Linked DNA regions of Danio rerio. The protein of the gene in region 2 purifies or fractionates together with the protein of the main gene of each other region. This does not show direct contact. Links are inferred from orthologs where the notes say so. Each region holds a gene or a part of one and is shown on either strand. Other genes may lie near its edges. The genes, in order: si:ch211-266g18.9, vps33a and vps41.

Region 1 (3,661 bases), on a different chromosome or scaffold from region 2:
CACACTTGCACCAGTTTTGTAGATTTGCACCAGACACTTTCTTACAAGCAATCCTTATTTAAAAAAACAACAGCAACAACATTGTGCATTTATGAAGTGTGCTTCACACAGGTGAGTGGGCTTGACAAACCACCTGTAGAAACACTCTTGTTAGCATGTTCCTTGTAGCAATGTAAATGTATTAACCTGTTAAAAAGTCTTTATCTGCTTTATCTGCATCTTTTTTGTTTGCTCACCATATATTTGATCAGCATTGTAGAAGGAGGACTGCCACAGTAACTGCTGTAGTTTATGTCTCATCTCCTCTGTGCTTGATTCATTGTTGTGGTCATCCGCAAGCGACCGCAGTATTCGTTTGACATATGATGTGATAAGCATAGTATGGTGCTTTTCCTCCTGTGAAAACACATGTGGTTATTCAATGCCATGACAAGTGATGGTGAACTGGCTTAAAGCTGACATTATATTTTTATTGCGTACATTTTAACTTATATTGTTTTTGCATTGAAATGTAGTTTTTCTTTTACATTTGGATTTAAATGAAGAGGCAGTAGTCGTCGCTATTGTGTCATATCTGTGTAAAAATTGATTCATTAATTGTTACATTAGTTTACCATAGTGATTCGAGATAAGATACTTGCTTATATTTATTTTATTTTGAACAAGAAAAGTCACGTAATACAGTTTTAGTTTTTAATGAAAAACTTTACACTGTCCACGTTTTTATCTGGGTAATAATGTAATCTTACGTAATCTTATCTGGGACTGAAACATCCCATTTCATTTGTTTTATTTGTTTGGCAACTATGGTGATTTCTGTTTGAAACTTAATTTAAGCTAAATTAGGTTTAATTAAAGACTTAAGATTCTGTAATGTGTCCCCTGAGGCTTAGAAATAATAGCATTTATCCTGTTTCCCCTTATTAAGTCACTGTGAATGACCGGGTGAAGTTTTTGATGGTAGTGATGTGCAAATGTGGACAGTCGTGTGGTGGTGAGATGCCATGGAATTACCACAAAAGTTTCAATCAACTTCTTTTTGGACTGAGGACAAAGCCTTTGGTTATGATTGTATCAAATCCAACACAGGGTCATTGGAAATATTTGCTTCAGACTACATTTTTGTAAAGGCATTTTGTAAAAGTTTCTTGGATAAAATTAACAACAGTATGCCAACATCTTTTGTTCTTTTTTACACAAATGATATTTACAGGGACGTATTATCAATGATTAAAGTAGTATTTTCATGCAGTTCTTTGCAGAAAACTAATTAAATATTACAAAACAACTTAACAGGCGTCATGGTGGTTCATTGGGTAGCACGATCGCCTCACACAAAAAGATTGCTGGTTTCAACCCTGGCTGGGTCAGTTGGCATTTCTGTGTGGAGTTTGCATGTTCTCCCCATGTTGGCGGGGGTTTCCTCCGGGTGCTCCGGTTTCCCCCACAGTCCAAATACATGCGCTATAGGTGAATTGAATAAAAACTAATTTAATTGCAGTGTATGTGTGTGAATGTAAGAGTGTATGTGTGTTTCCCAGTGTTGGGTTATGGCTGGAAGGGTATCCGCTGTGTAAAACATATGCTGATTAAGTTGGCCGTTCAATCCCGCTGATGAATAAAGCTAAAAAGAAAATGAATGAATGAAAAACAACTTGACATGTATCTGAAACATAACAATACCCTAAGAAACACATTTCAGATTTGCAAAACAAATGTAAACAGCGCCCTCTAGTGGATTTTTCATCTAAAATGTGCAGCGAGACGTACCTGGAGCAACATATTTAACATTTTGCAAAAATGTAGGCTGAAGCACGAATTTCTAATGAGTCTCAGTTGATCAAATCTGTTCAGTGGTCAGTGGTCACTGTTAATTTAAACTTGGTAGTTCATGTTAATTGAAAAAGGCTCAAAATAAAACAGACTTTAGATGAAAATTAAGAACTGGAAATGTTGATATGGCTACTAAATGTAATGAAGTTGTGGTAAACTCAAATAAAATTTTAGAAATATAAACTACAAAGGTTACTTTAAATAAAAGCTAATTTTGTACTATAAATTGATTGGTTATGAATGCTTTTTTTGTCAGTGTCATTATTGATTAAAACTAACACAAAATGTTAATAAACCTAAATATAAAGTGTAAATATTTACTAAAAAAAGGAAAAAAAATATATATATATATAACAATACAATATAAACTAATACAAACTAAAATAAAAATCAGTATTATAAGAATTAAAACTATAGAACATTATGGAATAAAACTTTTTTTTTTATATCAAAAGATTAGGTAACACTTTGTTTTGATGGTTCATTTGAACGTATTAGTAGACTGTCTGCTTATATATCTGTTGATATGCTCCTTTAACAGACATTTAACTGACTATAAGAAACTTTGCAAACACGTCAATTTACACTAACCCTAAGCCCAACCTAACAGTCTACTTATAATCTAATGAAAATTAGTTATCATGTAGATGCAATGTAACTTAAATTTAACCAACGGACTATCAAAATAAAGTGTGACCAAAGATCAATGTAAATGTAATTTCTATCTTTTATAGTCACCTTGCTGTGTGATTCATTGACTAAATATTCCAAGTACAGGGTCAGAGCGACTGGGTAGCTGTTGAGAATGGTAAAAACTTCTTCTGGTACAAAAGTATTGTGGTTGCCTGCATTTGTCTTTGTGAAGATAAGTATACCAGCCTGTTGATGGAGAGAAGCAGCAAATCAGAATAATTTCTGAAGTGATAAAAGGATATAATGACTGCTGAAAAATAAGCTTTGCAATCATAAAAAAAAAAAAATGTATTGAATATTAAAGGTGCAGTATATAGGATCTCGCTGGAAGTACAGTAGTAGGTCATCCAGGTACTCGATCATGCCCACTGTTGTTTTTCCAGTATGGATTTAGACATACTACTCGATTGGGCCCAGATATATAATTATATTTCTATATAATTTCATCAGTTCATCAGATGACTTACAGGTAACTCTTTTTGCAAAGACTTTAGATTGATTGGGATGATTTTATAGGAAAGCGAGAAATTAGTTTTTTGTAATTTATTATATACATATAATAAACAGAATACAGTCATAAACACAATGGAGCAAATAATAAAGCGAAATAAAATGATTTATGGTTTTCTGGGGAGAGTCTTACAATATTCAATTACAGAAATTGAATAATCAAATGTAGATGAACAATGCATGGTCTTCATCATATAAACTGTTCAATAAAACAAGTCTTTATTAAACTTCTTTTTGCTCTATTAAAATGTTTTAAACTCTTAAGAGATTAACTCTCTTTCTCTCTTAAAATTCTTATACAGTCACAGGCCTTAAAACACACGCACTGATTAACTTTCACTCTACTATGCTGAAATTCTGTAGAGTCTCCACAAATCTCATGTGTTTTGACCTGTGGTTCCTGGTCATTGCGATGTGACTATTGCGGACAGACACATTGCGATATCAATGCTCAAATGATATATTGTGCAGCCATACTCACATACATTTTTTCAACAATATATAGTAGGGAAGTATTCAATTTCAAGATTACGACACAGAAAGCACATTTTTAAAAGGAGAATAACTCACTTTAGCATTGATCACTTAGCGTGTTTCTTAAATATCTGCAAACGTATTATGGTAT
Region 2 (4,101 bases):
AGTGAAAATCCAATAAATATCATTATTTAAAAAAATAACAATAAACAAATAAAATAAATATAAATTAATCATAAATTAATTTTAGCCAAGTTGTGACCGCAAGGCCTTAGTTGGCGTCTAGCTTGCTTGGGTTTGTTAACAAGGTAAGTGCAAATCTTTACAGATATATTGTTTTTTTTAATTCTGTATTTTGCTTAAGAGTCAACTGTTAATCACTAATCATAATGGTTCTAAAGTCCTGAATGACACAAGCGTATAAATTCTAAAGTTCTTGATTTCTCTGCCAAAATCTGACGAGCTGTTTAGTAACTAAACGAATTTAGATTTACCTCGAAACATTTTCTGCAATGATGTCCATTAACTCCAACCTCGGGCGAACAAAGAAGACAATATTCTTGACGGCGGCAGATGGTATTCGGCCTCCTTTAAGAGTGAACATTTTCTCCACTTCATGTTCCTTTATGAAAACAAATAGCACAATAATGAGTATGGGTATGTCAATGAGTAAACAAAAACAAGTCCCACAGGTACCATGTTGAAATTGAGGTAAAGTTGGTTTTATATTCGCAGATTCAGACTTTCTCCTCAATATAATTTCAGAAAAGTATTCTTTGCAAATTCTAAATAGGGAAATCACATTAGCAGCCAATGATTATCAAAGTACAACATTGTTCACAGTCAATTAAATAGTGCTAATGTTGTCAGACCCACAAGTTTCACAATATAGGGAGCATGTCCAAGTTATCTCAAAAGCAATGTGCAAATATAAAACCTCAACCATGTTAATCAGTGCATTTTTAAACTTAGCTTATCAAACAATACACAACATGCATATATATCTTTCAAATGTGACTCAAAAAATCATAGTTGATGGGTTGCAGACACTCATGTTAGTATATTTTGTTTTGTGGTAGCATTACATTGCATTGATAGCAACTCTTGGATAAATTTGTATTGCATTCACTGTGAATGTTCAGCTAACATCATTTATATTTATGAAAATCTTTGCAAAGATTCCACTAAATGTGACCTATTCAGTGTCACGAAACTGCGTTATTGGTTTGAAAACTGCTTTTATTGGGGTAAAGTTGGTTTTATAGTCAAACATTCAGACTTTCACCTTCTTGATGTGATTTCAGAAAATAATTATTTGCAATTTCTGAACAGGGAAATCACATTAGCAAAATATATAGACACAAAATTAAATAAATAAAGTAATCAAATCAATGTAAATAAATAAAGATAAACAAATCAAATAAATAAATGAAGAAATCACATCAAATAAATAAATAAAACCAAATAAACAAATCAAATAATCAAATCAAATATGAATGAATCAAAATAAATAATTATAATTTAAAAAATAAACAAATCAAATACATATAAATAAATAAATTTAATAAAATTAAATAATCAAATCAAATAAATATAAATAAATACAAATGAATAAATGAAGAAATCAAATAAATATAAATAAAAACCAAGTAAATAAAACCAAAAAAACAAATCAAATCATTAAATCAAATATAAATAAATAAATAAACAATAAATAATTAAATTAAATAAATAAATCAAATAACTATAAATAAACAAAAGTAAATAAATAAAATGGAATAAAAAAAATCTAATAAATATAAATAAAATTAAATAAATAAACAAATAAAAATAAATTAATTAAATTAAACAAACTTATAAAATAAATAAAAGTAAATAAATAACATTAAATGAATATACAAATCAAATAAATAAAAATAAAAATAAATTAATTAATTTATTCAATTAAATAAACAAATCAAATCAATATGAATAAATAAAAATAAATAAATAAAACTAAAATAAACAAATCAAATAAATAAAAATAAACAATTAAAATTTAATAAATTGAGCTTTTATTAGGGTAAAGTAGGTTTTATATTCACACATTCAGACTTTCACCTTCTTAATATATTTTCGGAAAATAATTATTTGCCATTTCTAAACAGGGAAACCAAATTAGCAGCCAATGACTATCAAAGTACATTGTTCACAGTCAATTAAATAGTGCTAATGTTGTTTGGAAATCATACTTGCATGCAAATTTAGACCCAGTGTTCAATGTAGAGTGGTAAACAAGATTTAGACACCATGTCACAAGTCGTCACCTTGTGCTAATAACAGCATGTCATTATAAATCTGTATTTGCATTTATAAATTCTGCTTCACTATTTTATTAAATGTACGAATGTAAATCCAGTATTACTTCAATAGTTGTTTACATTATGACCTTATACATTTTCCAAACCTTTATTCATTATTTGTTTCCATTTGATTTGTCTGCGTGTCGTGTATTTTAACATACAAGTGATATAATATAGATTAATAATACACATTTGATATTTAATATACAATTTTCATGCTGAATGAATATGATATGAACATATGCAATCTGTGAATACAATCTCTCACCTTTAAAAGTGAATACTGAGCAATCAGCCCGAAAGGTCCTGTTAGATACTCATCCCAAACAATGGCCTTTAATGGAGAAATAATAAAAGGGAAAACACATTAATTAAAAGACGATTGAGCTCCATATACTATGTTACACGACTGACAGTATTAGTAAACAATGTTTACAGGAATAATCTTTCATCACAACCATCAAGCGCAGGTTATGTGTTTACACAGGCAGTACATTTTGAGGAAACTCTGACTAAGTTAACAGTGTGACAGCCGGATAAACTCATTTACTAAAACGAAAACCTTTACCTTGCTTCCCGAACATTTATCCAAAAACTCGCGCAGGTCTTTTCGTGCAGCCTCTCTCAAAATATTTAGGTTTACTCTACCACAAAACAAATGTGACGCCATATTCGCCAAAGCGCAGTCATGTGACTTATGGCCAGAACCTCACGTGATACTTCTTTCAAAATAAAGATCAGCTCACGTAAATGTACATTTATGTTTCATCTATTACTTACACAAAAATACATATTAATATATATTTTTAAAAATATCTTCATCTAGTATAAATTCAGTTTAGCCAAAATAATTTTGGATTAATAGCAACGTGTACGTAGGCGTTTTCAGTGTTTGTTGCCAAATCCACGCTTTCCACGTATATTAGTTGCTTGAAATCAGATGCATTAGATTGTTTAAAGCCATTAAGTAGTTTTGTAGTAAACCTGCATAGATTGTAAAAAAGTAACATAACAATAATAAACGCGTAGCCAGTTAGTGTAATCTTATAGTAAGTTGTAATATAAGAGATTGTGTCTTGTGTGATAATTAAAATATGTTGATATCAGTTGAGTTAAAGAAATATTTTGTATTATTACTTGGATTAATTCTTGATTTTTGCCAAAGACTCTAGAATATAGCCTAAGGGATTTTAACTATTTAGGCTTTTTCGATGTTTGTTGCCAAATCCAGCTTTTCCACAAATATTTGTTGCTTGATATCAGATTGAACTGCAGCAGTTTGTAATATTTTGGATTATTATTTGAATTAATCATGACTTTTACCAAAGTCTAAAGAATATACCATAAGATATTTTACCTAAATAGGCTTTTTCGGAGTTTGTTGCCAAATCCACCTTTTCCACTCATTGTTGCTTACTTGATATCAGATTGACAGTAGTTTGTAAGGGAACATACAACAATCATTGATTGGTGTAGATACTTTTTGGTACACCTATATAATATTTCAACAATTTACTTATGTTTTCATATTTGTATGTTTTATTATTTTAATGTATTTTCTTTTTAACTTGTTATTCTTTTATGTATTGATCTTATTTACCATTTGCTTACTATGCTGTACCATGATGAATCTGTATTAGTATTCAAGTCACATAAAATTTGTACAAATGGTGTTTTATGTATCCCCGGTTACTAATGTTGATTTAAAAAATAAATTGTCGCGCAAACATGTGACTACACGCGTGATTTCTGTCAAATATCTGGCAACATCTCTGTTTAGGAAGAGCGCATTTCTGCTCTGGGGATCAGGGATCATTGTCAGTTCAAGTGCTGAAGACGAGTGAGTGGAAAATGCTGCGCACAGTTTTATCCAGAGCTTTCCCTCAAGTTTGTCGCATCTCCTCATGTCAACATTCAACGATTC
Region 3 (3,661 bases), on a different chromosome or scaffold from region 2:
GAAACTCATCTGAATTCTGCCTATACTAAACTATACTAAACAGTTCCACCAACAATACAATAACAATATACAGTGGCCCCTTGATTATCGCGGGAGTTATGTTCTAAAAATAACCCACGATAGCCGAAATCTGCGAAGTAGTCAGCTTTATTTTTTTTTACAATTATTATAGATGGAAACCCCTCACTACATACTTTATACTCTTTTCTCAGACAGGCATTAACATTTTCACACTTTTCTCTCTTGTTTAAACACTCTGAACGTTCAAACTCTCATAGAAAAATAAGTCCAGTAGCCTATTATTAAATAAATCCAGAGATGGGAAGCAACAAAGCACAAATACTTTGTTACTGTACTAAAGTACATTTTACTGGTATCAGTTCTTTACTCCACTATTTATTTTTTGACAACTTTTTACTTTTACTTCTTAAATTTTTACACAAATATCTGTACTTTCTACTTCTAACATTTTTAAATCGGGCTTGTTACTTTCGTTTTTATGTGTTTGATGGTGCAATCTATATTATTTCTTGTCAATTTGAATGTACGTTTGATGCAGTCAATCTATTTTCATCATTGCGCGCTTGCATGCTGTAGTGCGCTGCTTTCTCAACCAAGGCTATTACGCGCCTTATGGCTAGTTTATGAAGATTCCTATAAGAAAGGCAATGATGACTACGCAGATAAGACAGAGAGAAACGACAAATTTAACGTGATTGGTGCTGTCCTATTTGGTAATAAGACGCATTTTAGTAGGTAAAGAGAGACACATTGTTCTATACAAAAAGTTCTATATTATTGACAAGTAATTAAATAATTAAATAAACTCAAAAACTCATCTGAATTCTGCCTATACTAAACTATACTAAACAGTTCCACCAACAATACAATAACAATATACAGTGGCCCCTTGATTATCACGCGAGTTACATTCTAAAAATAACCCACGATAGCCGATATCTGCGAAGTAGTCAGCTTTATATTTTTTTACAATTATTATAGATGGAAACCCCTCACTACATACTTTATACTCTTTTCTCAGACAGGCATTAACATTTTAACACTCTTCTCTCTTGTTTAAACACTCTCAAACTTCAAACTTTTATAAAAAATTTAGTTCAGAAGCCTATTATCAAATAAATCCAGAGATGGGAAGCAACAAAGTCAATCAATCAATGCAGTCAATCTAGTTTTATCATTGCACGCCTGCATGCTGTAGTGCGCTGCTTTCTCAACCAAGGCTATTACGTGCCTTTTGGCTAGTTTATAAAGATTAATATTAGAAAGGTAAGGATGACTACGCAGGTAAGACAGAGGGAGACGACAAATTTAACATGACTGGTGCTGTCCTATTTGGTAATAAGACACATTTTAAAGGTAAACAAGAAAGACACATTCCAGTTAAAAAATATGCCATCCAAATGCTTAATGATTGAGTCTTTTGTTAACTTCTGATCATACTGAGAAGTCGAGTTATTATTTGTCGCTCTTACAACTGGAATCGATGACAAGACTTTTATCAAGTAGTGTAGTTCTATCTAGTGGAGCACTGTCCCAGTACCCATTGGTGATGAGCCTGCAAGTATTACCATGAGCTTTAACCTAAAAAATGATGTTACAAGCCTTTATAATGTGGAATTAACAACATTCACTCACAGCTCTGCGAGTGTGGTGAGGAGAATGCTGTTGGTGGGGTCCTTCTTCAGGTGTTCATTCACTGCCTGAACTATAGCCATGTTGTTATACAGCTCTCCAGGCCACTCACGAATGAGTGTGGCAAAACCCTGGGGGAGAGATCAATTAATTTCTTTACGTCTAAGAAAGAGGGAATTGTCTTGACTCTGATATTGATGTCATCCAATCATATTTTTAGGCCTTAGGTAATCGATTACCATGATGTTCATATAATAGAAAATATGGTAACACTTGAGAATATTGGACCATTAATTAATGATAGTTAATGTATTTATTAACATTAACTAAGCATGAATAATCTTGTAAAGCACTTAATAAAATATTAACTAATGCCTTATTAAAATCTAAGTTAATGCACTGTTAACAAACTAACATGAACTTGCATTATTTACCTTAAATAACATTAACAAACATGAATAAATACTATACCACATACAACATGCATTACTAAAAGTTTGTTTATGTTAGTAAATAAATTAACTAACATTACCTAACGAACCAATATTTTCAAGTGTTGACGAAAATATGCTTTGAAGAAAACCAAACCTCATAGTCAGTCTTGAGGAAGTCATGAAGGATCATCTCATAAATAGCAGGTCGAAGGCGCAAGTCTCCTCTCGGTAAGTACTGACTGATGGCCTGAGAGGAATAATGGAGCAAGTGGTTAGTTGACAAAATAGCAGTTGTTGATAGACACTTTTAAAAAGTATAATAGCACTACATTTACACAATTATAATAATAATAGTAAAAATCTATACTAAATAACAATACAACGATAATAATACTATTAATAATAATAATAATGACATCAAAGTATGACTATTATTCATATTTTCCACATTAATATTATTATTCACATCATTAATTCAATATATTTTTAAATTGACACTAAATTACTATGCACTCTAAAAATAACTCGAGAGGTCTGTTACCACTACATAGTTTAATACATTGTTGTAACTTAATTGCTGATTAGATTAAAACTTTTAAGTTGTCAGAGTAATACTAATAAGTTTTCACAACAGGCAAATATTGCTAATTACGTCAACAAATAATGCGGCTAATTTAATGGTAAATATGTCTGTCAGTTAGTTTGAAACAATATCTAACTAGAAGCAACCCAAAGAAATGGGGTTGATAATTCAATCTTTCTACAAAAATGGAGTTCTGGATTTCAAAGGTCCTTCCCCTCTAAACAAGTAAGAAGCAAGTCTGGACAAGTTTTAGGCAGACTGTTTGGCACATAGGACATTTTAAGGCGAGATATCTGAGATATCTCAGAGATAAATTTATTTAATTTCCAAATCAATTTTCCCCATTCCACTAGAGTGTTGGCTACTCCTGGTGAAGTTGATGTTAGCAGTGTTTTTGACTCAAAGTTTTTTTTTCTTGCTTTACAAGAATACACAAGAATTTGAGGAGGACCTAATGAGGATGCATTAAGGACCTTAGAGAGGAGGACCTTAATGAGGAGGCAAGTAATGGCAATTATTCATTATTGGTGATCGGTCTACTTTGGAATTAAACTACAAGACAGAAACCATCATAGTTGAGGGCATAAGAATCCTAAATGGAATGGATATCTCAAGGTGCTGTGGTCTGCTGATGGACAAAATATATAATCTGACTCTGAAGCACCTCAAGGAACTTAAATATACCTGTGAAGTTTCTCAAACTTAATGGACTGAAGCACAGTGCAAAAGTAATGTGTTTAAAGAACATAATTTCTTAAGTCTCTAACTATTTCAGAGTACATTTTGCTCTTTATGTTGCACTGTATGTTGTTTTGTATTTTTAAGTCCACATGCTGATGTTTTTTTGTTATTTTTTATACTGTTTATAAAAGGCAGAACACATTTTTGTTTTGTAAAATATTGAAAGACTGGTTTAAAACAAATAAAAAATTACTGGAAAACAAAAATGCTGTTGTTGAATGTGTTTGTTACAAGTAACTAAATGAACAGT

The links.
Region 1: the proteins of vps33a (region 2) and si:ch211-266g18.9 purify together in Homo sapiens (co-immunoprecipitation; 5 studies listed by BioGRID and IntAct, with this or other methods). This does not show direct contact. The link is inferred for Danio rerio from reciprocal best matches to the Homo sapiens genes VPS33A and TGFBRAP1.
Region 3: the proteins of vps33a (region 2) and vps41 purify together in Homo sapiens (affinity purification with mass spectrometry; 5 studies listed by BioGRID and IntAct, counting the BioPlex papers as one, with this or other methods). This does not show direct contact. The link is inferred for Danio rerio from reciprocal best matches to the Homo sapiens genes VPS33A and VPS41.

What each region holds. Positions count from the first base shown.
Region 1 is NC_133192.1:16,843,569-16,847,229, forward strand, and holds part of si:ch211-266g18.9 (transforming growth factor-beta receptor-associated protein 1), read right to left. Parts: intron 2,713-3,661; coding exon 2,572-2,712; intron 397-2,571; coding exon 237-396; intron 1-236. UniProt on the Homo sapiens protein: Plays a role in the TGF-beta/activin signaling pathway. It associates with inactive heteromeric TGF-beta and activin receptor complexes, mainly through the type II receptor, and is released upon activation of signaling.
Region 2 is NC_133180.1:75,638,484-75,642,584, reverse strand, and holds the start of vps33a (vacuolar protein sorting-associated protein 33A), read right to left. Parts: upstream 2,874-4,101; 5' UTR 2,848-2,873; coding exon 2,746-2,847; intron 2,512-2,745; coding exon 2,446-2,511; intron 458-2,445; coding exon 330-457; intron 1-329. Other genes in the region: aldh2.2 (aldehyde dehydrogenase 2 family member, tandem duplicate 2), read left to right, coding at 4,029-4,101.
Region 3 is NC_133199.1:10,269,701-10,273,361, forward strand, and holds part of vps41 (vacuolar protein sorting-associated protein 41 homolog), read right to left. Parts: intron 2,335-3,661; coding exon 2,242-2,334; intron 1,785-2,241; coding exon 1,657-1,784; exon of another isoform or gene 1,127-1,656; intron 297-1,126; exon of another isoform or gene 1-296. UniProt on the Homo sapiens protein: Plays a role in vesicle-mediated protein trafficking to lysosomal compartments including the endocytic membrane transport and autophagic pathways. Acts as a component of the HOPS endosomal tethering complex.